Linked DNA regions of Arabidopsis thaliana. The protein of the gene in region 1 interacts with the protein of each later gene in a pairwise test. Each region holds a gene or a part of one and is shown on either strand. Other genes may lie near its edges.

Region 1 (15,896 bases):
TTCTGGCGGATTGGTACGCTCGTAAACCAGAGTTTAGCTTCTTGACAGCTCCCCACATGCCATGACGGACACCTAACTTTGCTACGTCTTTTGGGATGCCCATGTCTTCGTAGTGGACAAGGGAAACTTCACAAGCCGTTTGCTGTCCATCTCCTTTTCGGGATTCAACTGCATTTGTTTTGAATTTGCTTTAAAATCAAAATCTATGCCCGTCTTAAAGAAAAAAAGACTTGTATATCAAAAGGCTTACCCGCTCTGATAACCCAACTTGAGAAATAAAGCTCAACACGCCTTGGCTTATCACGCTTTGGTAGAGCTGGATAAGGAACTCCCTACAATATTGAACAGGTGTTAAGTATGGTTCTGAGCTTTGAGCTTTGTTTAGAGCTGGATAAACCTAACAAAGAATACAACCTTATGCATTTTGTGAATAAGGCGCTTATCTTCAGAACTAAGGCGCTTATCTTCTTTGATATTTCCATAAAACGCATCTCCTAGAGAAGTAGAAGCATACTCCATGCAATATCAAAGAAGATAAGCGCCTTAGCTCTGAGCTTTGAGCTTTGTTTCAGCATAAAAACTTAATAGGATGTTTAGGATAAACAGATGTTGGATACTATTTGATCAATTTTTTTCACTGATAAAGTAATGATGCAATGAAACTTAATAGAACTAGAAACTAAGAGACAATGGTCCCATGAATTATCTCCAGACATTCAGAATTGTCAAACCTAAACTTTGGTGTTTTGTCCCCTACAGAATTCTGGCGTAAACATTTAGAATTCTCCAGACATGTGGAATGCTACACACTTGTTCTGTGGAAGGCAAAAACAAGTTCTTGTAGCATGACATTACCTTTGTGACACAATAATACTTCTTCCCAGACTCCCATATTCTCCGGCCAATGATATACTCTCGGTCACTACAGAAAAAAGGAAACTGCAAGCAAAAGAAATTAGTAATGACAACAGTTTTTAATGTGGGAATTGTTTATTAAGATGACCAAAGTATCAAAAGTCCAGAAACCTTTTTTCTCCACTGAACAATCATTGTTCCTGTCTGAGTGTCCTCCTCCAACGTTTTGAAGTTGGCAAGCATGAAATCCCATTTAGGTCGAAACTCATCATCCCAGAAGAAATCCCTAACAATATCTGGAGTTGCATCCTCAAACACAGTCCGGCTGCGATAAATAACAGGACCTGTCTGATAAACAATACGACCTATCAGGCTACAAACACAATTTGATCAAATGTTTCTATCATCTAGTATTTAAGAATTCCCCATTTCATTATAGCAAGAACACAGTTTCAAGTAAAATGTCACAAAAATGCCACACAAAGGGGTAAATGCAACAACGCATCACATCGTGCCCAAAAAGAACCAAAGCTAAACAAAGAAACACAATGTATACTACTAGACACCTAAAAATTGATCGTCTATAGCTATCCTTAGAAACATATCTCCCTCGTCATTACCAATAAACCTAAAAGCAGTGGTCTGATTCAGATGTCATTCAAATTACTCTAAAGAATTCATTTTTTCGACTATTCCGCCTACTACTCAATGACTTAGCTTGTTCCTTGAGCTACATCATTCAGGCGTAGCATAAGGAAACGGATACAAAGCAAGAGTATAAAACTTAGATTACCTCAGGCTCATGACGCCAAGCCTGGTAGCTCATATTTGGAGTAGTCTTATCCATCATAGATTGCCATTCCAAAGCTGCATTTCCAACTTCAAGCAGCTGAAGCAGATGCTCTAAATCATTCTCTGTCACAATATCCTCTGTCACCGTCCCGTTATCGCTACCTCTGCAAATATAACCAATCCATAAATCAACTAATGCAAAAAAAAAAAAAACCATTCTTTTGCCAATGCTATTGCGAAACTAAAAGATAATGCAAACACTATATACCTTATCTAGCTAAATTAAAAGTAAACGTTACGTTTTAAAACAGAGAACTAAAACTTCTACATCTTCCAATAATTAAGCATTACACTAACCTTGAGGCCAATCCTGATTCATCATTATCCTCAACAGGCGTCTGCGACGAAGCTGAACCGGTCGCCGATTTATTAGCTCTGGTGTCATTCCTTGACCAGATGGTTCGGCAAACGGAGAAAGCAGAGAGAGCGGTGAAAGCAAGCCAAAGCCGACGAGCACCAAACCCAGGCGGTGCGGTCCATAAAAACCGAAGCTTAGAACGAAACCCTAAATAGATCAAACCGGTCCATCTTGGACGCCAAGACCATCCGATTAATAACCCGATCATAACGGCGAGCCAAATCGGAACTGCGCATAGTAAGATGTCGACAAATGTCTCTGTAAAAGAGGGATTCTTAAAGAAATTCAATAGATCAAAATAGGTCTCATCCATAGCGGATTCTCTAGATTCGATACTTTACTCCGATTTGGATAAAAAAATTTCCCGAGAAAAAATGTCAGATTCCCGAAGGAAAATGGGATTCGAAGATCGCTAAAAATTTAAGCGACATGAATCAGGAGAATCAAAGACGAAGACGAAGAAGAAGAAGAAGGGATAATAATAATTTTTTTCTTTTTATTTAATTGAGTTTGGTGATTTAATTGATTAAATCATAAAAAGAAAAAAATGTGTTCTGATATTATTTGCTGTGCTTGAAACGACGTTGGCGGGTGAAAGGAAATGATAAGGACAAGCATAGTGGCGATGACGTGGCGCTTTCGTTGACCGACAAGTTATATCCCACGCGTCAGATCTTAGCGCGTCGTGTTCACTACGTAGAGGAATATACTCAAAAATCAATTATTGTGTTAGCATTAGAAGCACGTTTTGTTGATTTGCAACAATTGTAGATAAGAGCCTAATTAATTTATAGGAGTAAGGTTAAATTTGGTTGATTTCGAATATAAAAGGGAATTTTAACAGTGGATATCCAAATGATGAGGTGAGATACACGCGAGGGTAAAGGAGCGTGAGGGGAAAAAGGTTGGAAAAAAAGTGGATAAGGGAGAGATAAGTTTGCTGAGAGATTCACGTGTGTTGCTGGAAGTTTGGGTAATCAATAATGCCAGTTGTTTAGCCAATAGTAGCTTTTAGCCTTGAAATTGTTTTATCGTCGAAACGATAAAAGCCCATTTAAGGCCCATTAATAATTGGAGCGTCAGACAAATCAAAATTTCAAAATTCGCATTTGGGAGAGAAACGGTAACAATGGTTACGCCATCGTTGAGATTAGTATTCGTCAAGGGTCCAAGAGAAGGCGATGCTCTAGATTACAAGCCTGGATCTACGATTCGTGTTGGTCGAATCGTTCGTGGTAATGAAATCGCAATTAAAGACGCTGGAATCTCCACTAAGCATCTTCGGATCGAATCGGATTCTGGGAATTGGGTAATACAAGATCTTGGATCTTCCAACGGTACTTTATTGAATTCGAATGCTCTTGATCCAGAGACGTCGGTAAATCTCGGAGATGGCGATGTTATCAAACTAGGTGAGTATACATCTATTTTGGTGAATTTTGTGATTGATGATTTTCAGGAGAAGAAGCTTACGAGGAACAATAGGCGTCAGGCTAATGCGAGGAAGCGAATTAGGGTTTTAGAAAGTATCAATTTGGGGGATATCACTGAGGAAGAAAAGGGTTTGGATGTGAAATTTGAGAACAAGCCGAGTTCTAGGGTTAGGAAAGTTAGGAAAATCGAGGATTCGGAGAAATTAGGGATTACTGATGGATTACAAGAGGATCTGGTGGAGAAAAATGGAAGCTTTAGGAATGTTGAAAGTATTCAGAGTTCATCTGTAAACTTAATTAAGGTTGAAATGGAGGATTGTGCAATGGTGGAGGAAAATTTAGGGAGGGGATTGAAGAAGAGAGTGAGCAGTAAGGCTACGAGGAGCAAGAAGATTGAAGAAAGTGTAGGAAAAGCTTGTTTGGGAGTGGTTAATGTAGAGAAGGTAGAGACTTTAAAGGAGAAGAGGATTACTAGGGCTACAAGAAGCAAGAAGATTGATATTGTTGGAGATTCTTATTTGGAATTGGACATGGTTCTAAATCGAGCCAGAAAGAACAAAGGGAAGAACAAGAAAGCGGATCAGAAGCCGTTGAAGAGCTTTGAAAATGATGAGGTTACTGATTCAGGAGAGCAGGGTTTAAGCTGTCATGTTGAAGAAGATATGAACAATGAACTTGATACAGATCTAAGAAAGATGACATTAGGAGCATTGTTCAGTTTTCTGGAGGGTCATCTGTCAAAAGAGATAATTCACAAGACAGAAAATATGATTGAGCCCATGCGAAGTAAAACTCAGAGAGTTCGTGAGTATATTTCAGATCAAAGAAAAGTTCAGGCTAAAGCGTGTATGTGTTGAATTGACAAAGTGTCCAACTGATATGGTGCACACTGATTATTGGTATAGCTTCAGTTCATGGAATAAGAAACACATACTGACAGGTACAAGTTTCTTATGAAGTAGACCTTAATGCTGTGGGATTGGCTGTGTTGCTTAGAGTTTTGACTGCATTGATTTACTTGCATTTGCTTTACGTGTGAGACAAAGTAAACAGTGAAGTGCTGATGTTTAAGTAGGTTTCATAAGTCTTTTGCCCACTTTATAGTATATGTTTCAAGGACATCCCTGAAGACTTATAAAACAAGTTCTGTTCCATTGTGATTTTATCTTAGCATATTGATGTTTGAATACTTGATCATTCATTTTACCAAATGTCAAGAAGGCTGACGTCTTTTCTCTAGTCTTTGTTTCCTTCTCATGTGGTCAAAGGCAAATGCAAGTTCTTCAGAAATGCCATGAAAAAAAAGTTGTAAAACGAGTCTAGATATCTAAATCTAGAACTTTAAATTTCTGTGAAATGATGAAAATAAATTTTCATAGCTCCATTTAATTTTTGTACCTTTACCGGTTTGAAGTTGAAATGATAGTGTTTGCCCTTTGGGTCCCTGGAAAGACCAAAGGTAAAATCTCATTAACTAAGGTTAGTTAGTTAGCTCTTTCACATGCTTCATCTTATTGTTTCATCAACATATTTTTAAGTAAGAGATAAGGGTTTTGCTTTTACATTAAAGGCTCTCTTTTTTTTCAAGTTCACATGCTAAACCAACTCTTTCTTTTTTCATCCCTATATGAATAGCCTCATGGTACTATTAGCCTCTAAAAGACCACAATTCCACTAAAAACATAACAATTCAATAAGCAAGAGTGTACTCATCTTCTTTCTATTTATGGCTCGGAACAAGCTCGAGTTCCCTCTTGATGCTGAAGCCTACGAGATCATCTGCAAGATAGGCGTTGGTGTTAGTGCTTCGGTCTACAAGGCCATATGCATTCCGATGAACTCAATGGTAGTTGCTATCAAAGCCATCGATCTTGATCAGTCGCGGGCTGACTTTGACAGTCTTCGCCGTGAAACCAAGACGATGTCTCTGCTTTCTCATCCGAATATTCTCAATGCTTATTGTTCATTCACCGTTGATCGATGTCTCTGGGTGGTTATGCCATTCATGTCTTGTGGCTCTCTTCATTCGATCGTCTCTTCGTCTTTTCCAAGTGGGTTACCAGAAAACTGCATTTCCGTCTTCCTCAAGGAAACTCTGAATGCAATCTCGTATCTTCACGATCAGGGTCATTTGCACCGTGACATCAAGGCAGGTAACATTCTGGTAGATTCTGATGGATCCGTGAAGCTCGCTGATTTCGGAGTATCTGCATCCATCTATGAACCCGTGACATCTTCCTCTGGAACAACATCTTCTTCTTTAAGGTTAACTGATATAGCGGGAACACCGTATTGGATGGCTCCGGAAGTGGTTCATTCCCACACAGGGTATGGTTTCAAAGCAGACATTTGGTCTTTCGGGATAACAGCGTTGGAGTTAGCACATGGAAGACCTCCGTTATCTCACTTACCGCCGTTGAAGAGTCTGCTCATGAAGATCACCAAAAGGTTTCATTTTTCTGATTACGAGATCAATACGAGCGGAAGCAGCAAAAAGGGTAACAAGAAGTTCTCAAAAGCTTTTAGAGAAATGGTTGGTTTGTGTCTAGAGCAAGATCCTACTAAAAGACCATCGGCAGAGAAGTTGTTGAAGCATCCTTTTTTCAAGAACTGTAAAGGACTCGACTTTGTGGTCAAGAACGTGTTGCATAGCTTGTCAAACGCAGAGCAGATGTTTATGGAGAGTCAGATTTTGATCAAGAGTGTTGGAGATGATGATGAAGAAGAAGAAGAAGAAGACGAAGAGATAGTGAAGAATAGAAGAATCAGTGGGTGGAATTTCCGTGAAGACGATCTCCAACTTAGTCCAGTGTTCCCAGCTACTGAATCAGACTCTTCTGAGTCCAGTCCACGTGAAGAAGATCAATCAAAAGACAAAAAGGAAGACGATAACGTCACAATAACGGGGTATGAACTCGGTTTAGGTTTGTCGAACGAGGAAGCTAAGAACCAAGAAGGTGAGGTTGTTGGGTTTGATAAAGATTTGGTGTTAGAGAAACTGAAAGTGTTGAAGAAAAGTTTAGAGCATCAAAGAGCAAGAGTGTCGATTATAATCGAAGCATTGAGTGGGGACAAGGAAGAGAAGAGCAGAGAAGAAGAGCTTCTAGAGATGGTGGAGAAGTTAAAGATTGAATTGGAAACTGAGAAGCTAAAGACCTTGCGTGCTGATAAAGATAGTGTTTTGGGTTAACTATTCTAAACTTGTTAATATTTTTTTTCTATATGCTAAAATTATATAAGTGGCATGACATTACGATCAATTGTTTTCAATTTAACTCGTTTTATTTGTCAGTTTAGAATGGCTCCAAATTAAGTTTTGGTAAACAAGTTATATATTCACCAAAACAACATATAAATATTTCCTCTTCATAAAATTTAATAAAGAACAATAAAGTAAAATCACAACAACAAAATGTAAAATTGATATGAATTACAAATACATATTCCCTATTTACTGATGTACTTCTTAGAATCAAATTTACTTTAATAGTCTACTAATTTGATTGTATTTTGCATCTTCAAACACTTTCATCTCGAAAGAAAAAAACTTAATGTTTTTTTTTTTTTAATGTAATGTTAAATTAGATTCAAAAGAAAAATGTCTTTTGTACAACAAGTGCAACGTGAGTTTGAAAAAGGCTAAATACATTTTAGATCAAAGAAACTAGTATAAATTTCTTGTTGCAAACCAAATTTGAAGTCCCGTCTCATGTCTTCTTTCTCCGCTTGTGTTCAGTGAAGAAAGTCGATCTCTTACTTGCTTGTCTATCCATCGGATTAAACGCACCGGTGGATTTGGTTGTTCGCCATGCCGCCGATTGTTACGTTTCCTCCAGATAGTATGAATCGTTGCTTGGAAGACATAGTGAGCTATGAACCGCTTTGTTCGATCTTGCCAATGACCCGAAGTGGCTGCAATCAAGTCATTCCAGTGAGTAGTATACTTTGCTCCATAGATGTTCCTTGTCAGAGCCTGCCAAATTTCTGAAGCGTAAACACAAGAGAAAAAAAGGTGATTTCTAGTTTCCAGCGTGTGATTACAAAGAGCGCATCCTGTGGAGAGTCCCTGTTCCAGCTAAGCATGCGATCTCCTGTTGCTAAACGATTGTGAGCCGCCAACCAGACGCAGAAAGAGAACTTGGGGGTCCCTCCTGCAAACCAGACGCTCTTGTGCCAAGTGACTACAGGCGAAGGTGTGCGAGTATGGTTCCAAGTATCTCGTGTTGAGAAACGTGGCCGATAAATATCCTTTCTCCCTTTCCAAAGAAAAATGTCCTCTGCCATCACTCTGTTTTGTTTCACCAATAAAGTTCTTGTTCAATGTTATTTAGAATTGCTGCTCGATGCGTACGTGAGCTCCTTCCGTCCCATGCCTCTGCAAGCGTCTTATGCTTACTAATCCCCATATCAATTTGGCCACGTTCGCCCACGACGTCAATCAATCTGCCCATGGTTGACCAATCATCATACCAAAATGAAGACCTTTCGCCATTTCTAATATCAACCTTAGAGAAATCTTTTGCAATGTTTCGGTATTTCAACAACTTTTTCCACATCCAAGAGCCTTGTTGTGCTGATCTAAGGGACCAGAAAGTGTTGTGCTTTAGGAGGTGGGTCTTAATCCACTTCACCCATAGCTAATCACCATGCGAGACCATTCGCCAAATAAGTTTCAGACAACATACATCATTTGCCTCTTTGATTGACCGCAGACCCAATCCTCCCTCTTGTTTTGGTCTACATATTGTATCCCAAGCAATCTTAGCCTTCTTAGTACTTAACTCTGGTCCTGACCAAAGGAAAGCAGAACAAAGCTTGTCGATTTCCCGAATACACTCACGTGGAAGCCTGAAAGCAGAGAGCCAAAAATTACATATACTCCATAAAACCGAACTGATCAAATTTAGACGACCCGCGTAGGACAAGAACCGGGCTGTCCATGTTCCTATTCGTCGTTTTATCTGCTCAAGAAGCGGGTTGTAGTCCTGAGATGTGAGTCTCTTGGTGACTAGAGGTAACCCGAGATACCGCACCGGGAGACATCCTACTTCAAAATGAAATTGTTCCTCAAACTCTTGGCGCACAGTATCAGAAATTCCTGCAAGATAAATTGTTGTTTTCTCCATGCTAATCTTGAGACATGATTGTTTTGCAAAACTGTCAAAGACCTCCACAATACCCTCAAGGGATCGAAGTTTCCCATCTGTGAGCACCATGATATCATCAGCAAAAGAAAGATGTGTTAAACCAAGATTTTTACACTTTGGATGGTATCCAAACTTCCTTAAGCCTGCAGCTCTGTCAAGCTTCTTGGATAGAACATCCATGACAATGACGAAGAGATAAGGAGATAGAGAACAACCCTGACGCAGCCCCCGTGAACTATTAAAGTATCCAGCTAGTTCCCCGTTAACCTGAACCGAGAAAGATGCTGTGGTAACGCAAAGCATGATCCAATGAACAAAAACTTGAGGAAAATCAAGAGTTAAGAGGACATTCTTGAGGAAGGTCCATTGAACTGAATCAAAAGCCTTGGAGATGTCAATTTTGATAGCGCAGCGTTCTGAGACTGAATCTTTATGATAGTCCTTGACTAACTCCGTTGCGAGGAGCAAATTTTCGATTAATAGGCGATGTTCCTTCATATAACTTTGGTCCTTTACAATGATTTTGAAGAATCTGGAAACCCTATATCAGAAATTCGTCGATTCTACATGAAACTCTACCCGGCCCTGAACGTGTTGCATAGCTTGTCAAACGCATTTAGTGATATCAAAATCTGACTCTCCATAAACATCTGCTCAAAATCAGATTTTGATATCACTAAACGTATTCTCAAAATCATTTATGCAGTAAACAAAAATATCACTAAACTTTAAAACCAACCCAAATAAGCAATCTGGGGGTTTGATTATGGGCTAAAATAGATGAATACGTTGGGCACAAAATACTAATTCCAATATATTTCATCTTGTTTCTACAAACCTGACTAACTGACCACCCAATCGGTTCTAGCTAGTCCCAAAACTTTGGATTTTGAACTTTGGTGATATTTATAGAATCATAAACAACAGTGGGATACCGGAGTTATATATGAATGTGAATTTGGTCATAGCCGATAGCCTAGTAGTCTAGTACCATAAATCCATAATACGTAATATAAAGAATAGTGTACAGTTCAACGGAACGGAAGAAACAAAAAAAGTAGAAATGGAATAGTAATTTACACATTGACAATAAAATACCACTTATATAACAAGTTTTTTTCAACTAAGTTTTGTAGGTAAACTGACCATCTCCATTGGGAGTATCTCATAAGAGTTTCTCACAATTAAAAAATTAAAAATAAAAAAAATGAAGGAGAGAGAGTGTACAAAGTTTCTCACTTGAGAAACTCCGAGATACTCTATACAATTCATCATGATAATTCTCATCTCACTATTGGTTCAATTTTTTAACAAAAATACTTTTTTAATCAAATAATCAAATTATAATATAATATTAATATTTTTTTTGTTTGAGAAATTTTGTGAGTTTCTCATTGATGAAGATGCCCTAAAATTACATAATTAAGCTTTTTCAACTAAGTTTAGAAGATAACATACGATGAGACAAAAAGAAAAAGTTTATTATGTGAATAAGATATCATGAACAAAAAAAGAAGAAGATGTGGAACCACATTTTATGTATTTCATTTTAATTTATACTACTAAATGTTGCAGTTTTTATGTAAAAATAAAATAATTTTGAAGAGAGGGTTGCCCGGTATTTACGGGAGGAAAAGCATGTACACGTGGGAGATGTTGTATCGGTCAAAGCTTCAGTTTCCTCTTTTGTCTTTTTCTTGTTTCAGTCTTTTTTTGCGCCTTTCCCATATTTCTTTCCTTGGAAATTTAACAACAATCTTTCCTTTTGTTTATTGTAAGCTTTTTTAAAAAATATATTTTGACTATCTAATCTCTATAAATTTTTCAGTTCTCAGTTTAAAAGTGTCTAAATTCAGCCAGAAAAACTACTGTAATAGTTGTGACATAGCGAATAAATGAAAGTTTTATATCTGATGGAATACTACTAAACAGGGCAATTTAAATATGTATACAGAAAATTGATATAAAAAGGAACAAGATTTTCCTTGGTTTATGATTTTTTTTTTATAAATACTTTTTTAATGAGGCTATTGGTACTCATTTACTTGTAATTTTTTATAAGAAAAATCACAACCAAAAATAATTTATTTACACCAATGAATGATTGTATTTTTATTTTAGTTTTTGAATAGTGGGACTCAAATTAATAATCTGATTGTATGTTTTTTCAATATTTAATATACGTTCATCCGGTTGATTTGCTAATGATAAACGTAAATGACACTTACTTTTCTAAGTTTCTAGAAACTGATTTTTTATGTGTTTTTGTTTCAAGCAAGTAGGTGGGGTTAGAAGATTATTATCCAATTAAAGGCCTTTAATTAAAGACAAAACTTAAGTTTTCCTTATGTTTAATTAATAAAAGTTAAAGAAAATATACAGAATAGGATGTGACTAGGATTAACTATAGACCTTTATGGCTTTATTTGGATTTTTCCATATATACCAATATTCTTTTAAAGTTACTTTATGTTTGAAACAAGTAAATATATTACTAATGCAATCACGAAGTGGGCAATGATGTAATACTTGATGGAAATCTTTTGTTTAGTTCAATCACACGAATCAGCTTATTAAGTATACATTTTAAGATTCCAACCAATTGTAAGTTAACTGATATTTTCGGTAACAAATGATTCTTTTGTTGGTAGGAAGTCTCATCAAAAATAAAGAAGAAGAGGATTTTTGGATGAGTCCGTCTTTAACATTAAGAAGCTAAATTAAAGAATCCTTTTTTAATTTGGAGGAATTATTAGGTGTTAACATTTTTTATTTATTGCATATTTAATCAATTTTTAGTTTAAAAATATGATCAAAACATATATAGTAATACTAATACTTAATATTAGTATCGTTGTATCACTATTTAAACTCAACATAATGTACAATAATAATAAAAAAAACATATATAAAGCTATACGAAAATGATTAATATCTATCAATTGTGTGGCAAGTAGATGATAGGGAACAAACATTTACTAGTAATTTCAAAATGATTTATGACTAAATGATTATTTGTATTGTGAAGAAAAAAATATTATAAAAAAGTTCATCCGCAGAAAAGAAAATTGTATTAATGACAGGTATATTAGAAATTATAATATTTAAATATATTGTGACGTACAGATTTTAAAACAACAATTATAAGAAAACAGGATGTTGTAGATTTGTAGGTGTAATTTTACTACAAATGGTTAGTATTAATTTCGTTTGTTTATTTGGTGGTCCAAATTTCGTTAATTAGGTTTAGTGGAAGCCTATGCTACATTACAGTTAGTGACTGAGAACGAGATTGCGGCTTTTCAAGCTCCCAAAGTGCATTGGATTTGTCAGAATAATTAGTGATTTCATAAAGATAAATTTATCAATACTTAAGAAAAAATGAAGGTTTTATTTTGACGGTGGATCTACTAGTTAGCAACTTAATCAGCACTACTCAATCTTCATTAACTCCAAACGAATTCATCATGCATCAGCAATTCAGCACTATTTAGTCATATACAACACCTATATATTATTACACAATAAGATAATAATTGAAACCAATTTTTATTTTTTTTGTTAGACTCAAAATCAAAAAATTTAATTATTATTTTCACTTAAGGAAAACTTCATATTAAGTAATTTGTTGCATAAATTACTTATGAAATTGTAAAAGGCTAAAAGCTCTTCTGAAATCCAAAGATTGGTCGGTAATAGAAAGAAAATAACGGAACTTATTCTATCGCACAATGAAATGATTAAAAAGGTCTCATTTATCTTGAGGCTGGGTTCAGAAAATGCTTGTGGCTGTTGCATATATATGTAGAGAAGCAACAATGAGTTTGTATTGGTATGAATAAAGCATAAGTTAACAATATCAAAACCTTGTATAAACACATTTATTTGTGTTTGTTTTAGTCGTAAAACATTATAGATTTTAGTTTGAAAGTAGCTAGGCTTGGAAAGTTAGAAATATGATGCCACCATATTACCATAATCTAGTTTGTGTGACGCATAATAATTATAGTTAATGGAGTAAATTGGTCCGATTAAGTAACTAAGGTTGTCTTTAAGCTTTGCAATGATGTGACCACATAGATGTTATTAATTACACGATATTATAATTATATTATACTAATAGAATAATTATATACGTCCCATTGGCTTTGACAATTGACACGTGAATTCATGTGAAGATGGTCCTTCATGTTGCGCCATTTCTAGGATCCCCCACTCGATTTGACGTGATACATATTGGTATCTACAAAGGAACTATACATTTTCATTAGTTTAATAATCAAAATTGTTAGATTGTCACTATTTGGCTGAAAATCCAGTTTAACAAATTGTCTAGTGGCATAAGGCGGCAGTATTAGTTTTTGGTAAGGTAAAAGACAACGAAAAATATAACAATACATTGCGAAGAATAGATCACAATTAGCTAATATATATGTGAAAGTTTTGATGTAGTGATGGTGATGTGTTTCGAATATTCTCTATTATACAATATTTGACTACGAGACTTAGTTTAGAAATAGAAAAAGATTTGAAGACGAGGAATAAAAAATAATTTAAAAATTAGTATAGTCCTTCAGAAATGTTTTTGGGTATTTTTCTGGTCAAATAGAGTATGAATAAGGTTTCTGAACGAGAAAAACAAAAATCATAATAGATGAAATTGCAGTTTCTTCTATCTGGGTCGGATCACATGTCGGATTCGAGGTTTTCAGAATTATTGGGTAATTATGTTGACCAGGGGATGTTCAAACGTACCATCCATACTCTAAACTTAAGTTACAAGAATGTATATATATTTTTTCCGTAACTGTTTGAATTAAACATCACATGAGTTATTTGTTTTTATAATCTTTTTTTTTTGTCTTTTAGTCGAACATATTCATTTTGTCTCTTGTACAATAAGCAAGACATGGTAAAAAAAAATTTTTGATTTATATTTCGTTTACTCAACATATAAATCTAGATTCAAGACTGAAAAAGAAAAAAAGAAAAAAAGAAAGAGAAAAGAACATAACAAAAAAAATGAAATTTTTTTACCTGAATGTAGACCAATTTGTTTGCAAACTATGTAGATAGATAACTTATCTAAGATAAGTACTTCCAATTTGGCGTGTTTTTTGGTGAGAGTTTAAGTAAATTTCTAACCTTGAAATAGTTGGTTCCTCCATGTTGTCCTATTAACAAAATCATCCCAAATTTAAAATAATATCCTTTTTTCCTTAGGAACCATATATGCAACCAATAATCCAAAACAAATGAGGTAAAAAAAAAGGTATTGAATTATGATTTATTTCTTGATTTTTCCTTGTGAATTGTCATTTAGAAACTATCTTCTATGATTTTGCCTAATTTTTGTAAACCAAATATTTAATGATATTTTTAAAATATATTTTTCTGAATATGCATGCTCTTAACTCATAAATCTTATATATCAAATTAGAGGGAATATATCAAGTTCTATTTGGAAAAAAAAAACACTAAAAATTACAAAAGTGCATTAACATCAATAAATGATCGTTTGGTAATAGTATTTTTTAGTTAAGACTTACAACGACTTAAAACTTCATAGTATAGGTTTGTAAACTTCCTTAAGTCGTTCTCGCCAACAACATCAACCGTTTTTTTTGTTCAGTCATAATTTTGTTTTAAAGCTTCTTTCGTGTCATGTACCATTAAATAACATCAATTAATACACATAGAGAGTACGTATATGCTTTTAGCTAGTCAACAATCTCTCATTCTTTTGTTTACATAGTCATATTAAAAAATTCCAATAGCATCATGACGCGAAGATTAAAGAACCACCACTATGGACCTATGGTAAAAACCTTAAATAAAAATGATCATGAATTAGAAATATAATATCGAAACGCACAAATAGGCAATATATGCTCTCAACGTTCCTTCATCGTTGAACCAGCATTAAATATATATAATAAACCCATGGTTTTTGAGCCAACCAAAATGTAAAGTATCTAAAGATCACAAAGGCAAACACATACAAATATTGTAGTTAAATACTACTACACAAAAACAAAAAGACAAACATTCTAATTTACAGTACAATGTTTATTTATTTCAATAATTTCGTGGAGTAGTAATACTGAAAATCTGAAAGTCCCTTAATGTCGTCTCTTTCTACCTTCCCAAGCTCTATATTTCCATTAAGAACAAACAAAGCTTTGATACTTATTTATTTTTCCAACCAGAGCAAAAGCTTTGTAATAGACTACCTCAAATTGCTTGCTTATATTCATCTATATATTTATTTATATAGACCATTATATATAGAAATGGCTCACTGAGTCAGTAAGGTGGTCTTGCGTGGACCCATGTATATGGTTCGTGCCCTAGCTGACCAGCCCCATTTGGAATCAGATGCGGCGGCATATTGTAGCCTGGCCCGGCCATCCCTGATAGATCAGGCAGGTTACTACCGATTCTGGGCGGTGAGTCACCGCCTCCGTGAATCTGTCTTGAGCCGCCACCGTCTTCCTCTTCTTCCATGGGCAATCTCTCATAAGTAGCGTTAGAGAAAGTAGCAGCAATCACCATGACCGACCCTATGGCTAAGAGTGGGCCTACAACGCTACCTCCAACGACCTGACCCTGGACCCCGGCTAAGTAAACCGTTAAACCGGTTGACCCGGGTGGGGAAGGTCCAGGGAGGAAAGCACCGGTTAAAGATAAGATTTCAAACCTGCCTTGGAGAGAGACCACACCTCCTGGTGCGGCGGCTTGGCGGAGGGTGACGTTAGCGACTGAGCCTGTCCCGCTGAGAACGCAAACGCCGCGTTGCCTGCGTCTTGAGAAGTGAGCGATTGTGTCGGCGACGTCACTGCCGTCGGAGATCTCCAAGACATGGCTACGGAGTGCGTTGGGGCTGTCTCTTGTCACAAAGATTGGAGCTTTGGGTTTGTTTTTGGATCCTGGTGGTCTACCTCTTGGTCTACGGTTGACCACCTCAACGGCTCCTTCTCTAGGATCATCTTCTTCGTCTTGGTCGTTGTCTTGGCTCTGATTCATGGCTATTCCAAGATCTCCTTTGGTAAGAAGACTTTGGTGGTGATGGTTTTGGTGATGGCCTGAGGAGACCGAATGGTCCACCATGCCCGCTAAACCACTCTGGTTCGTCCACCAAGGGTTTGCCATGATTGACCAAAAACTGGAAATTCGCTAAAAAGAAAGATCAAGAAATTGTTACCCTGATGATTTGCTTGAAAGGCCTCTAGGGTTCCAACTTTACAAGGT
Region 2 (15,896 bases), on another chromosome or scaffold:
CGCTATCAGCAGGGAAAATTGGAAAACAGATCTGAAAGATCGATGATGATCCGTGAGAGATATAAGGGTTAGATCTTGATGAGATCTAAAATCTGAGAGAGAGCTTACCGGCGCAGAAACGAGAAGACAGAGAGAGGACGCTAGGGCTTCGCTTCCTTTGAGAAATTTGCCTTTCTGTTCTGAAGACTTGTAATTATTAGTATTTATGTATTTATATACAGTACACATTTGGTTAGCGTGCCGTTTATGCACAAAACCAAAGCACAGCGTGCCGTTTTGTCATCGTGCCTTGTTAATATGTTTGCACTTTGAAACTGGAGACGTTTAACACCAACGTGCTTTGAATTAATTCAATGATTTCATACCAAACAGTTGAATAAAATGGACCTAAGCTAAGATAGAATCGGATTCTTCCTTTTTATTACTCCACTTATCATTAAACATTAATGGACGCATCACAAACTCAGTACGAAAACAAAGCAATCGCAGTTTGCCAGAGAAACAAAACCCACACGGACGGAGCCCGTGTTAGTTATGGTTTGCAGTAGTAATGTTAAGCATCCACATCATTTTATATAACCCTGGAAAGAAAAATAGACTCCAAGTAGCTGTCTTTGTCATTTTAGTTTCGCGAAACTTTAGGTGTATACAGAAAAACAGCACTCACACACTTACACATTTGTCAACACAATGCCAGTAATCAAAATATTGCCCAGTGCAATGTTTGTGGCCAGACTCATCATCTTGGATCCTCTTGACACACGCCTGAACCACCCACAACAACAAGATGTTAAAACTGAGCAGCACTAAGAAGCCATGTGATGTGAGATAGATAAGCAGCACCGAAAGCAATCAACTCTCTCTCTATGTCAAATGACTCGTATAATGCAAAACAAGGTTATGACCAGTGACAGCTCAAGTCGTATTCACCTGATATTCAAGTAGTGGCTTCACACATTTTGGTTTGCAAGATTCCTCAAAGTATCTTTTCTGATCAACAACATCTTCTTCTGGCCTGTAATTATAACCATCGAGTAGGATGGAAAATCAAAGGTTAGATAAGCAAACTAAGGAACGAATAAAACGTTCATAACTATGACATAGCAATTTTTGTTGTCAAAGTAGGAGGCTGTTTAAGGGATGAAGCTAAGCTTCCCATGTTACACACAAAGCTCTTCAAGATTTTTATGTAAAGCAAGAAAACGGAGAGTGCCATTAAGTAAATACCCAACAAACTAAACTGTAGAGGATGTGCTTACTACTATGTGTCAAGACGGGAATACCAATACTATCTGATAGCTTAAGGGGATAACTCAATTTAGAGAGAAATTGCTAGAGATCTAATAAATGAAGAGAGCAAAAGAATAAAGAAAGGACATTGGTGAGAAAAATCCCTAACGGTGGTATAACGCAGAATCTAGACAAGACGAAGGAACTTACATGGCGAAATTGGAAAGAAAGCTTGACCTGAACTCTGAGAGAACAACGGATCAAAATTTATGTGAGCGACAATGTTTTATGTACCAAAGTAGATACATAGAAAGAATTGACATTATTACCTCAAGGAAGGAGGAACCCTAAATGTTTCGATTCGATTCGATTTCCTCCAATTTCATCGTCTTCTTCTTCCTCTTCTTCTACGTCTAGTTGCCGTTTCCGTTGTGAACAATATGGGCCTGTACCAAGTAACATTTTTAAGTAGCCCGTTAATGTCCAACATCCTCAAGCCCATGGTGTAGAAAATAAAAGTCAGAAGAAAGATGGTAACATTTGAGTTGAGAGGAGAGGCCGAGTTAGATTGTATATGATACATACACACAATATTCTCTTGATTCATGGGCAGAGGTTGGTTGGTTGTGACTTGTGAATAGGTTTCCCAGTGTGCAATACAAGGTAAACTGACGGAAGCTCTGGAGGAAAAAGAAAGCTACAAACTGATAGGAGGATTGAAAAAAGGATAGTCGATGTAGGAACTGATCACTTATCTTCATATATGTAATCCAAAAAGAATAGTCTCGGGTCATTTCAGTTACATATTAACCAAGACTAAGTATTCTGAGACTACTTTTGAATCTGCCGGTGCTCTCGTCAAGAAAATCAGTAATAAAACCATATGTCAATTCAGGAGCAGTTCATTTCAACTTGAGTGTTGACGTAACTGTCCATGTGGGAAAATGAGTGCATATCTCTAATTGATTAACAGAAATGTATGCACTTTAGATAGGCCAAGCGATTGCAGCGTGAGTAAACTACTGATTAGTATCTATGGTAAACAAACATTGTTGCTAGTAGAAACAAAAATTTCCCAAAAAAGGCAGGGGAAGGATGGATCTTGTTACATTTCTTTACCAGTTTGGCTGGATCTTTTTTTGCAACTCCTCTGCAGTTGGGAGTAGTCAGTACAAATATATATATAATAATATTATTATGTTACAGTTTTGGAATTAGACGCTGAGGCCATCAAAGCCACATTGCTTGTAAATGAGAGCTTGCTTTCTGGGACTAATGCCTATCCCGCAATTCACGGATACCTGCAATGCATCAATATATTAGCAAGCAGAGTGAATCTTTTTATATATATATATATTTTTTTTTTGATAAAATTATTAGTTTAAATCAATACACTATAAACCAGTGAAAGGAAGGAGATGGTGTCGTTGTTCGTAATTTACACCTCAATATATAACATATAATAGCTTTTTAGGTGGTGGCATAGACGTGGATGAATGATCCTAGAAAAAATATCAAAAGTGAAGGAGAAGCAAAGGCCAAAAGGAAAGCAGAGTGGGGACAGACAAGAGCATGACTAGTGGTGTAAGGAATCTATTTAACTTAGCAACCACTTTTTTTTTTTTTTACCCGCATTTTTTACTCAAAAAGTGTGGTAATTTCTTTGTCAAAAGTGTTCACACTGCGCTGGTTAGGCCAGATCGCTGAGCGAGCAAAATGCGGGGAGAAAAGAAGGGAGAAGAACCTGAACACCCGGTGAATCGAAATTCATGACTCGGATCTTAGCCCCCACGTCTCCGCGGACTGTGAGCTCCACTCGGTCGTTCAAGGAAGCATCTCTGACGAGATCGGCGGCGTGGGCTTGCATAAGATTGACTCTGTCGACGGAGATGGTGGCCTCAACGTTCTTCGTACTGTGCGCATCCTGGTAGAATCCAGGCACCGTCGCCCTCCCCAGTGGCATGCCTTTGTACATGACCGTGAAGCTGGACTCACCGTACCTGATTCCGACCTTGTTTGGGTTGACGGCGGTGAAGAGCATCCGGATGGTGAGGGAGAGGGAGGCGGTGGTTGGATCCAGAACAGCGCTTGGGTTGGAGATCCCCATGTACACCACTGCCACTTGCTGCAGATCGAACTGCGGCTTCTTCGGCTTCACCGCCAGTATTACGATGAGCACCACCGCCAGTACCAGCAGCGCCAGGAACGCGAACAGCAAGAACAAGCAGCAGCAGCATCCCTTCAGCGACGCCGACGACGACGATGAGTAGCTCCGGTAATACGGCTGCTGGTTCTGAGCAGCAATCGGATCGCCGTTGAGACCTGCTCTAGAACTAGAAGGAGGAGGAGGCATAGTAAGTGAAAGCAGGAAGCTCCCTCTCCCTTTTCACTCTTCTTCTGTAATAGCGGTGTTGAAATTATACACAACAAGAGAGAGAGACCCTGTTTCCGTGTCTGGACTCTAGTATTATTGACAAATTAATGTTTCACAATTTTAACCACCAATAAAAATATCAATAATGTAATTTACAGCAATTTTAGGCAAATCTCACACTCAGACAAGGGTTAGAGATGACTCAAAAAATGTTGGATCTGATATTAAAAAAACAAACAAATACAAACACACAGTTACTATCCTTTAGTTACATCATATATATGTATTACGTCGTTGCTTTGTGCTATATAGCTGACCTCTTGCTGATATTTATATTTTCGTCAACTCTTGATCAAACACAGATGCCACGTCGTTTCTATACTGACTCTCCTCACTCTCTTTTATCTTCTTCAACATCTTCTTCCCTGTCCGACTCCGCATTCTTCTCTTGCTTAACTAAGCTAATATCACCATCTTGCTTCCCCCCTGTCAGAGATTGAGCTTCCTCGTTTTCTTCATCCACGTCTCCCGAATATGCATATCTGTCCATCATTAGTTTCATATTAGCATCCCTATCACACCCAGGAACACCAAAATTGGACCACTACATAAGAACCACTAGCATGTAGCCAAGACTTCCCACAACATGCTCAGCTGAAACCGTTTCCACAAAACCATGCTTATTTGTTGGTATGCCCGAGAGGTATCAAAACCTTTTAAGTTGATGTAACATACCTTTGGGAGTTCTGCGAGGGGGTCCAGAGATAGCAAATAATACATAGCAACAAGAATGCGATAACATCCCAGAAGGCAGTTATAGTCCAAGCAGTCTGCCATCGTTCATTGAATGGATCTGTTGCTTTGAAATACACCTGCACGGGGACAAATCATCAGGCAAGCAAGCTGGGTATATTCCAAGAAAGAAGGAGCTTCTTTTTTCCTAGCTTGAAACAAAGCCAGTTTTAGTTGAGCAGTTTGTTTCCTAGAGGTAAGATTTGAGTTTACTAAATCAGCATCAAATCAGGCTTGACAGGATGGTACCTCATACACTATCCACGCAACAGAGGCAACAACCATCACAGCGAGTGCATTTGAGAACTTGCGGTAAATTTCCAGCTTCACCGAGGTCCTTTTCATCTGCAGTAATAAAGAATTTTATAGCTGGTCTGATGAATCTTGCCTCAAAACCCTTACAACTTACAGAGTCTGATGGCTATATTTAGAAAGAAAGAGATACCTGTAACTGTTCCAGTGTTTTCGAAAGAGAGGTAAATATCCACAATATGAGAAATGCATCGAGGAAGGCGTCAGGAAGGACAAGAAAAAGTTTTGATCTTCCGGACATATCGTCAATGATGCCAACGTGCTCAGCAATATCAAGGATCTCAGAAGCTATGAAGTAAGTAACTCCAACAAGGAGGACTTTAGAAGTGAGACCACCAAGAGTAGATTTGACAACCCCAAATCCCATGGAAACACAGAGAATGAGAATGCGGGAAACAGTCTTTCTCAAGGCACCAATGGTAACAACCCATGTAGTAAGGGCTAAAGGCCTCATCCCCGTGTGATTAAAATTAGCATAATCCAAGTACCAAAAGAGCATCTCAAGCAATCCTAGAAGAATGACGGCAGTAATGCAATGTTGAAGTGGCAATATATCCATCCGGAACCTCAAATACTGGAAGAACCAGACGGCACTGAGCAACAAATAAGCGAGAGACATATAGACATAGAAATTCACGAGTGGAGCCATCCTACCAGGAAGATAGCCGTCGGGATTTTTCCAAACAGTCTTTCCGGTCATTTTGAGGCCCTTAAGTTGTGGATCACAAGATATGAATAAGAGATTATAGATTCCAGTCTTGGTGATAAGAATCTCAGTGTCTGCCATCTTAGCAGACGAGCGTTTTCCTTTAAAGCGGACAGGTAAGAGGATAGGCCATTGAGGGTCATGTGGAGAAGGAATCCTAATGATCTCACCCTGCTTACAGCCTTGAAGCTTGGCCAGATCTGGAGTGCAGCAAATAGATCTTTGGCCTCCGTAAGCTGAACCACCGATATTGTTACGATCGGAGGCTTCAAAGATCACTGCTTGAACTAACCCATTGCTGCGGTGGCCCTTACCGGTAATTGTCCTCCAGAGAGTGATGTTCTCAAACCTGCAGTGAGGAGGGAGGATGAGTAGAGTAGAGTAGAGAGCATCAAAAGAGTTGAAAATGTAATCCATAGAATATACCTGATTAAAGATCGGGAAGAGGCGAAGATGCCCTCGCTGCCACCGTAGAGGAGGAGAGAATTACCGACATCGTGGAAGGGCTGGGAAGAGTAGATGTGGGCGGAGGCCCCAGCGATTCTAAAGTGTAATGATAGAAGAAATGGGCACAGCAGCGCAGACAGCTGGATCAGTTTTCCCAAATCCATTATCGGGGAACGAGGATCTCTGAGGCTAACTAACAGGAAGGAAGCGGGAGAAGAGCAGCTGCAGAGTCGCTCTTGTTCTAGCTGCTGCTGACTTTGGTGGACCAACCAACTTAATATAATGGTTTGGGCCTTAGAATGGTTTGGGCCTATACCGAGAGGCCCGGCTTACCCAGAAAGAAATGCAGCAATAGTCAATGCCACTGCCTGGAATTCGTCGATCGAGCGATAAGAAGAAGACTGGAATTTTTTTGAGGAGGACTCTGCTCCATCGCCGCCCGCCCTGTAACCCACCGGACTCAGTAAACTAGTCTGTAACACAATATCTTCTATTTCAGATAAGATTTAGCTTGGAGAAGAGCAAGTTCCGAAAATGGAGGGGCGTCGTGTATAGATCCACCACCCACAGGTTCGTAGATTCCATAACCTTGGATTGTGTTTTCTTTTTGCTTTCTCGGCGACAAATTCCTCCGATTTTAGTGAACATGTCTCTGATTTTGGTGTCCTGTGGTGGATCTGCCGGAGCAAGTCTTAAACTTGACTTGGACTGTTTTTACTAGCTAATTCTGGGCGCTATTTCGTCTTCCTTGTTTCCATTTCTATCTCTTTCTCTCTGGCCAGTCCTCATATGTTATCATTTCCTAGCTTTGCCACTACTCATTACTTTCCCTTTATCGTGTTTATATCTTAGCCCTGATGGAAGCAGACAACGGAGGCCCCAATTCTAGTCATGCATCCAAACAACGTCTGCGTTGGACGCATGAGCTACATGAACGCTTCGTTGATGCCGTTGCTCAACTTGGTGGCCCTGATAGTAAGTTTCCTTTTTTCTTGTATAGTCTATGGTAAATTTAGTAACTCATGTTTTCCTCATCAATATCTGTGGTAATAATATGCACACCAATATAATCAAATTGCTCTTCTTGTATGCTTTACTACTATCCATGAGAGGGAAAGCCTATCGTCTGTTTGCTTAGGGTTCCTAAACATTTTTCTTCCTTTGATTTCCAAAGGAGCTACACCCAAAGGCGTTCTTAGAGTGATGGGTGTACAAGGCTTAACTATATATCATGTCAAGAGTCACTTACAGGTATTCTCAAACTGTGTGGCATCTTGTCTCGTCTCTCTTTCTCTTACCCTTGCTGATTTTTGCATTTGTGTATTTTGAGTCAGAAATATCGACTTGCAAAGTATCTTCCAGATTCGTCTTCTGAAGGTAGTGTGGACATTGATTTTCTTCATCTTCTTTCTCATTCTACCAGTTTCCTATATACCTGAAAACTGGTTTTTTCAATTTTCAGGGAAAAAAACTGATAAGAAAGAATCTGGAGATATGCTCTCTGGGTTGGACGGCTCGTCGTACGTGAAATTTCCCTCTTTGAGCTTGATTTGTGATGCTATATATATATTACCTCGCGCCGCAGATTAAGTGATCAATATCGTTTCGAGATTACAGGGGAATGCAGATAACTGAAGCCCTCAAGTTGCAGATGGAAGTTCAGAAACGATTACACGAGCAACTAGAAGTATGCTTCACCATTCCTACTTAAGAAAGACAAGCAACAACGAAACAATTAGTAGGATTTTCAGTGTAGCACTGAATTTTGCATTACATATGACATTATTCTTTGATGTGATTTTTTCTTAGGTGCAAAGACAGCTGCAACTACGGATAGAAGCACAAGGAAAGTACTTGAAGAAGATAATTGAAGAGCAACAACGACTCAGTGGAGTACTCGGCGAACCCTCAGCCCCAGTAACGGGCGATTCAGATCCTGCAACCCCTGCCCCAACATCTGAGTCTCCTCTTCAAGACAAGTCTGGCAAGGACTGTGGACCAGACAAAAGTCTCTCAGTTGACGAGTCTCTCTCATCTTACCGGGAGCCTTTAACACCAGACTCAGGGTGTAACATTGGGTCTCCAGATGAGAGCACAGGAGAGGAGAGATTATCAAAGAAGCCTCGATTGGTGAGAGGTGCAGCTGGTTATACACCTGATATTGTAGTGGGTCACCCAATACTAGAATCAGGCTTGAACACTTCTTACCATCAGTCAGACCATGTCCTCGCCTTTGACCAGCCATCTACATCACTGCTTGGGGCCGAAGAACAGTTGGATAAGGTTTCAGGAGATAATCTTTGAGTTGTTGAGTGTACCACATGTAGTGTTGTTTATCCTAATCCTTATTAGTTAGGAGTTTCCTCTAATAATGTGATCACAAGTCGTTAATTCTCTAGGCACTATCACGAGCATGAAGAATGAATATGTCTGTGTTGTGCTGTAATTTGGTAAACACAAAACAAAATTACTCTTATTCCCAACACACTACATTCTTCTAAAGCTACTTTATCAAAACAGTAACGCATGCCGCATTTAAACATACACAGCTGAATAACCTAGCATAAAGTTAGCTAGGCCTGGAGATGATCTCAAAACAGAACATTACAAATTATCACGTTAGTGAAGCCTGCACCGTTCTGAAGGTTTGCATATTTGCTGGTGCCTTGATAATAAAGACTGGTGATGCGATCTCGAATGGTCTTGTCGATGACGGTAATGAGGTGAGTGCACGGGTTGTGTTCTTTATGGTATTTTCTAGTGTTACGTTCTCTCCAAACGTTGTATTTTACAGTTCTCATATATTAAATTTCTCAAATATAAATAAACTATTTTGGATCAACAAAATAAAAATTTAATATTTTCTAAGAAACAATGTTGCTTTCATATAAAACACTCTTTCTACTATAAGAAAATACTTAGTATATCAGTGTAATAAGGAACTTTTTGAATTGACAACTTATATTTTATTTTGGGAATGTGACACGTTTAGACACTTTTACAAAATCTTATTCTTTTTGAGGCACTTTTCAGGGATGAGGCACTTTTCTTTGTTTTTGGAGGTAAAAAGGACAATTATATCATTTCCAAATAACTGTCTAATCACGTAATATTTTCTTTAAAAAGAAATGAAATTTGCTTTTTTTTTAATCTTATATCTGATGAAAAAGGTCTTCCTCTCTCTCAGATCTTCTTCCTTCTTCTTTCTCCTTAAGCAGACATCTATCCATGAAATCAACGCAATAGAAACGATGAAGAAACCTCATTTTTTGAAGAATCCAATGTTTTTCCTATTTCTTCTCATCACTGCTTCTTCCTTAACTATACTCATCTTCTCCTTTCTTAAATTACCGGAAACACCTCTCGCCGCTGGTAACCATCTCTGCAAACTCGGAGACGACATCTCCGACGAACTCGGTTTCTTCGGGAAGATGATGATCGAAATGTTACCTGAAGATCTGGTTTTCATAGCCTTCGTACCGTCGGAAATATCATTCAGCCGAGATCTAGGGCTAAAATTAAACAATAGTCGTCCGATTAAATCCCATGAAGACAAAAAGAAGATAACGAGTCTATTTAAATATATCCATAAAAACGAGTCCATTTAAGTATATCCATTAAGAAACCTTTTTACTGATACATATTTATTCATTATACAATGTACATAATAAAAGAGATGCGATTAACTGTGGTTTGTAAAGCTACCAAATTTTCTTGTCCATAAGGTCTTGGAGGTGGAGGTCTCTGCAAACTGAAAGAAAAATCAACAAACAATAGTTTTGTATCCATAATAACAAGTCCATTAAGATATATTCATTCAGAAACCTTTTTACTGATCCATATCCATTCTATATACCATGTCCATAATAACAGAAGATTCGATTAACTGTGGTTTGTAAAAAAACCAAAATTCCATGTTCATAAGATCTTGAAGGTGGAGGTCTCTACAAACTGAAATGTCTCTAATTGTGTATCCAATATAAACTGGCCACATAGACTTATCTAAACAGTTCGTTTTATATATTTTAATACAAGATCCATCAACAAACATTTTATTGAGAATATGATACAATGTTGTTGATAACAAGCAAATGGTTCGTAATTTGTATTGGATCATAGACTGTAATGGATTGAAGGGGACACAATGAAATTAAAGTTGTTGGCTTTGGCCATAAACGACGTCGTCAAACGAGGAGGAGAAGTGCACAGAAACCGTCATATGTTTCATGTATCTGTTGTCCAAATTTTGTAATAAAGTTGGAGACTTTCAGAGATTTAGAATCAGATTCATGAATGTATTTAAAGATCTCCAGAGAAGAAGAAGAGAAGCGATAGATGGTTGAGAAATATGGTAGATGATGAGAAACCCTAAGAGATTCAATTTTGATTTTGAATATTGAGATTTTCTAAAAGATTAAAGAGAAATTGGACTTTAAAAATAAGAAAATCGTCAGTTATATGCCTTACTAATAATTTTGGGGTATAATAGTCATTTTAACAAGGAAAAGTGTCTAATGTTTTTTAAGTGTTGGAACACGTCAAATGTTTTTAAAAAGTGCCCCTTGATGTAATATTCTCTTTTATTTTTGTCGACTAAATTTATTTTTCATCGACTTATTTTATAACAGTCGATTTACATTTTGGTTAATTGTTTTTCTTACATAGATGACTTTTTCAACTGTTGACTTATTATTTTAATTATTAATTTTATAATTTGTTTTTCCGACTTGTTTAATCTTAGTAGACTTATTTTATTTTACGTTGATTTATTAATAAGATAGACTTTTTGAATTATCAGCTTTTTGTTTAATCTTAGTAGACTTATATTTTATTTTCATCGACTTAATTTTTTCTCTACCGACTATATCAAAACAGTCGACTTATATTTGGTGGGTGATTGGTTGGGCTGTAACTGTAGAATTTTCGCTGTAGAGATTTTGCTGTAGCTGTGTTGGCTGTAGCTGTAACTTTTATTGCTGTAGAATTACTGCTGTAGGTTTTTATTTTTAAATATTTATAAAAAAATGATAAGTAAATATAATAGTTGTAATAAAATTTTTTTTTTATAGTAAATAAAATGTCTTATATTACTAACTTAGATATATTTATTATGATTATATAAAAATAAAAAAACTCCTATGAATTTTTAATAAAATAAATCTAAATTTTATCTATGATTATTCCATAAATTTATTGCAATATAATTTTTTTTTTTTAGGTTTGATAATTATCAGTTTTTTTTTAGAATTTATCTTTGTTTTTGTTATATATATATTTTGATAAATTTTTTTTGTATTTATCTAATGAATTAAAATTTCTATAGCCAAGAAAATAGGGCTTTGAGAATTTACTCTAGTACAGCCTTAAAAACAAAATAAAAAAAATTTGGGCTGTAAGTTTAAAAAGAAAGCTACAACACCATTGGTTTGTAAGTTAGCAAGAAAATAGGGCTTTAAGAAAAATTAAGGCTGTAAGTCAGATTTAAAGCCCAACCAATCATGCACGAGTTTCTACAGAGTGGACATTTTTGAACTGTTCATTTTTTTAAGAAAGTGATATAATTATTTTGATTTTATCTTTGAAATATTAATTAAATTTAAAAAATTAAATCTAATTAATATATATATATATATATATATATATATAAATTCGTAATTAATATGAAAATACAGTATATTTTAATATAATTATTTAAAATTGTTGAAGAAAATATTAAAATTGAAAATTTAATTTGGATTTATATATATCTTAAATCCGTAAGTATTCTAACATTTCTTTAGATAAAAGTATCATGGGGATCCTAACATTTATATACAGTATATTTTAATATAATTATTCTGCGACGGCGGTGAGATCTGGTGAGCAAGATGCTATGATGCTTGACGTCGGAGAAAAGGGGCGTCCACCAGGGGATCCTCCGGATAAGTTGGAGTCGTGGGCTACGAAAGTGAAGGGTAGTGCTGGGGGAGGTATCTTGAAACCAGAAGACGTGATTGATGATGAGTTTGTGAGGGAGCGGGTGGGGCTGGAGTTTCCAGATGGTGAGGACGAGGAGCCAGTTATTACCATTGGTGAGGAGGTGTTGGAAGCCATGAATGGGCTTTGGAAGAAGTGTATGATAGTGAAGGTGCTTGGGAGCCAGATTCCGATCTCGGTGTTGAATCGCAAGCTAAGGGAGCTTTGGAAACCGTCGGGAGTGATGACAGTGATGGATTTGCCCCGCCAGTTTTTCATGATTAGGTTTGAACTGGAAGAGGAGTATATGGCTGCTTTAACCGGAGGTCCATGGAGAGTTCTTGGGAACTATCTGTTGGTCCAAGACTGGTCGTCAAGGTTTGATCCGTTGAGGGATGATATTGTGACTACCCCGGTGTGGGTTAGATTATCGAATATCCCGTATAACTACTATCATCGGTGTTTACTCATGGAGATTGCTCGTGGGTTGGGTAGACCACTCAAGGTTGATATGAATACGATTAACTTTGACAAGGGTCGTTTTGCTCGAGTGTGTATTGAGGTTAACTTAGCAAAACCTTTAAAAGGGACTGTGCTAATCAATGGGGATAGATACTTCGTAGCATATGAAGGACTGTCTAAAATCTGTTCTTCGTGTGGTATTTACGGTCATTTGGTTCATTCTTGTCCAAGAAATGTGGTGGTGAAAGTTTCGGCTGGGGCAGAGACGGTTACGGATAGAGCTGTGGTGCCTGTTGGGATGGAGGGAGATGACGGGTTCACAGTGGTTCAACGCACCGCTAGACGGCCGGCGGCACCGGTGCAGAAGATGGTGTTTGCGGTGGGTGCGTCTGGTGGTAGGTCAAAACAGAGGTTAAGGGAACTCCCTAAAAATCAGGGGGTGGATCTCGCAAATCGATTTGGTGGATTGGATGGTAATGGTGATTTGCCTGATTTAAGGGAAGTTGCCATTACAGAAGGGCCAAATAAGGAAAATGAATATCATGGGAGGAATGTGGGGAAGGTTATGGGTGTCCCACTAGTTAAGGAAGCTCGGGGTTCTACGCAGATGGAGAAAGGGAAAGGCGGGAGTAAAGGTGGTTTTAAATGGAAGCGTAATGGAGGGATGAAGGCTTTGGAGCCCATTGGGCCAAAACAGAAACATGGGGCCGCAAATAAGCCTGCTAGGGGATTAATATTTGGGCCTACTAAAGATGCAAACTCAGTACCAGTTGGGGAGGATTTGTTATCCAACGGGAAGCGACTGCGTGTGGAACAAAGAGATGTTGGGAGACCAGGTGGTGTGTATTCAAGTGCGATGGGTTCGCATGCCCATGAGGCTAGTTTCGACTTGGATTCATCGTCGACTTTGTCTCAGCGGTTCCAGCGGGAGGATTTGATGTCTGAAATAGCTGTTGTGAGTCATGAAGGATCGGAAGTGGGGAATTCCAGTGAGGGAATGGCATGACGTTTTTCCCCGGTAGTTTGGTATTTAACTCTACAATTTTTAATGGATTGTCTATTCTGGAACTGCAGGGGGGGCGAATAAACCCAATTTTCGAAGAGCAATTCGATTTATGTTGAAGAATTATAAAACAGACCTGCTTGCATTGTTCGAAACTCATGCTGGAGGGAACAGAGCAGAGAGGATCTGTCGAGGCCTGGGGTTTGATAATTCTTATAGAGTGGATGTGTAACGGCCGTGAACCGGAAAATCAGTTAGGGTTTGTTTTTAAATCATCCGGTTTAATTGGTTGGGTTAATTGGAAACCCTAGAGTATGCCTATAAAAGAAGGAAACTCGAAATTAGGGCTTTAGTTAGCCACTTTTCGTTTTGTAAAGGAGAAAAAGAGAGAAAAGGAGAATGAGCAGAATCGTTAGGGTTTGGGAGAAATCAGTTTCGTCATATCAAACCGTGGTAAAAGTTTCGTGAGACACGTTTTCTCAGACGCGAATTAGGACCAGCGGAGATTGAAACTGAGATCGTGGTCTCGTCTGTTTTTCGATCGAGACGAGATTTTGTGGGCAGCTTTGTGACGTCTGCAGCTAGGATTTCACCGGAGCGATTGAATAGTTAACGGACGTTTCTGGACTGTTTCAGACGCAAGGAGAGACTCTCCTGGGTTTAATTGCTATTAGAATCAATTTATTAAGGTGAGTGCGTGACCATGAGCTTATCTGAGCGATTGGGTTGTGTGATGATATGTAGGTGTGGTGAATGTGTTTTGGGTGAATTGTTCAATGACTGGTTTGTTTGTATTGTATTCGTGATTATACCTTTTTATTTGCTTGTGTGTATAGCTCGTAGATGGGAGGATCGCCTCACTAAGTATTTATGATAATACTTACGCATCTCATTGTGTTGTTGATGCAGGTAAAGATAAAGTGTGATTGTGGAATCATGGCAAGGAAGAGAGGATGATCTAGGAACTCGTTTGTTTTATGTTTGGTCTTTTTGGTTATTGGAACCCGGTTATTCTTGGTTTTCTTGATCGAATTATTTATTTATTCATAAAATAGTATTTCTGACTTGCGGTTTAATTATTATGTTATTGGTTGGTTTAATTAGATATTTATGGGAATATTTAATTATATATTTTTTTTTAAAAATGGGTCGGGTTGTTTCAATTTGGTATCAGAGCGATTACGGTTCTAGGATGTGTAGAAAAATTAATTGATGAATTATTTTCCTGATGATTGATGTGGGATGTGTAACGACCGCGTCCCGCGTTCATAAAAAAGGTCGGTTTGTTTTAGGAGAAAACTAGATCATGGTCGAGGAACAGACCAAAATACTTAGTAGGAAGAACGAGAAAGTTCAAGCCGAACCAGCTAGGTGAGCTGGACAAGCTGGATGAACTAGCTAGCTAAGCTAGGTGAGCTAAACCAGCTGTAAGACTAGCTAGCTCAGCTAGGTGAGCTGACCGACAGCTCGACTGAGCTCGGTGAGCTAATCAAGTACTGACCCAGTTGGGTGGTCCGGTCAGCTGACACTCGAGCTGGTGGACTGTGGTAGCTCACGGGTGAAGAGGTGTCTCGGCCAAAGGTGTAAGGTCGAGCGGGTACCAACGAACGGTTGCATCGCCCAAAGGATGCAAGGAACAGATGTGACCTTTCGAAAGGATGCAAAGAACGGATGTGACCTTTCGGAAGGGTGCAAGGACCAGATGTGATGCTTCGGGAAGCATCCATTCGCCTCCTATATAAGGGAGGACGCCCAAGGCATCTCACATCATCTCACAACATCCAAAACACCATAAAACATTCTTAAAGGAGTTCCAACACATCCTAGAGTTGTTGGTCGGAAAGGGGGTGCTGCTCGGCGAGTATAACTCGACCGAACTGATGCGCATGCTACCTCCCAATCCAACGGTTCGATGGAGTGTAGAGGATGGAGAGGGTAAACCGTTCGTCTTAGAGACGAATCGGATCTGGTAGACCGATCGTTGGATCAGATTGGCCAGACCGATCGTCAGACGGATCGGATCGGCCAGACGGATCGGACAGACCGATCGTCGGACGGGTCGGATGGGACAGGCCGATCGTCTGACGGATCGGGTCGGACAGACTGATCGTCGGATGGGATGGATCGAGAAAAGTGTTCGAGGAAGCACAAGGATAAGTGCATCCGAACACACCCAAGGGGCGCCCATGGATGCAATCTTACTGATAAAGGGAGAAAGCACCAAGAATGGGTAAGGAACATGATTCACCATATAGGATCAACATCGCGGCCGCCTTCATGTATCTATCTCCTCAGCCATGGTGAAACCGATCAGAGATCGGTAAGACCAAAGGGTGACTCGACGGATAACCAACGGGAAAGTCCACGGTGGGAACCGATGGACAAAACGGATGTTGGACCCGCGAGCAAACCTAAGGCCGACGGAAGAAAGATTTCATGGGCTAGCCTACGATGATCCAGTGGATGAATCCACGGACCCTTGGGTGTGATAAGGATATCGTTCGGACCGCATGGATGGATCATTAAACCGAAAGCTTTATCGACCACCATGGACCGGACGGGTAAACGGTTAGTAACCATGGGCGGTCGTAGTGTTAAACGACCGAAACGGAAAC

The links.
Region 2: the proteins of AT4G14480 (region 1) and AT2G01070 interact in a protein complementation assay, tested with the Arabidopsis thaliana proteins (one large-scale study listed by BioGRID).

Annotation. Positions count from the first base shown.
Region 1 is NC_003075.7:8,320,873-8,336,768, reverse strand, and holds AT4G14480 (Protein kinase superfamily protein), read left to right. Parts: upstream 1-4,904; 5' UTR 4,905-5,224; coding exon 5,225-6,688; 3' UTR 6,689-6,863; downstream 6,864-15,896. Other genes in the region: AT4G14500 (Polyketide cyclase/dehydrase and lipid transport superfamily protein), read right to left, coding at 1-168, 251-332, 856-939, 1,027-1,203, 1,649-1,811, 2,005-2,378; AT4G14490 (SMAD/FHA domain-containing protein), read left to right, coding at 3,195-4,355; AHL20 (AT-hook motif nuclear-localized protein 20), read right to left, coding at 14,952-15,797.
Region 2 is NC_003071.7:65,725-81,620, reverse strand, and holds AT2G01070 (Lung seven transmembrane receptor family protein), read right to left. Parts: upstream 6,102-15,896; 5' UTR 6,026-6,101; coding exon 5,841-6,025; intron 5,764-5,840; coding exon 4,842-5,763; intron 4,742-4,841; coding exon 4,646-4,741; intron 4,477-4,645; coding exon 4,340-4,476; coding exon of another isoform or gene 4,321-4,339; exon of another isoform or gene 4,221-4,320; intron 4,147-4,220; coding exon 3,996-4,146; 3' UTR 3,756-3,995; downstream 1-3,755. Other genes in the region: AT2G01090 (Ubiquinol-cytochrome C reductase hinge protein), read right to left, coding at 664-765, 931-1,015, 1,441-1,442; AT2G01080 (Late embryogenesis abundant (LEA) hydroxyproline-rich glycoprotein family), read right to left, coding at 2,445-2,531, 2,975-3,583; AT2G01060 (myb-like HTH transcriptional regulator family protein), read left to right, coding at 6,719-6,836, 7,036-7,112, 7,196-7,238, 7,324-7,381, 7,479-7,548, 7,671-8,165; AT2G01050 (zinc ion binding / nucleic acid binding protein), read left to right, coding at 11,737-13,284.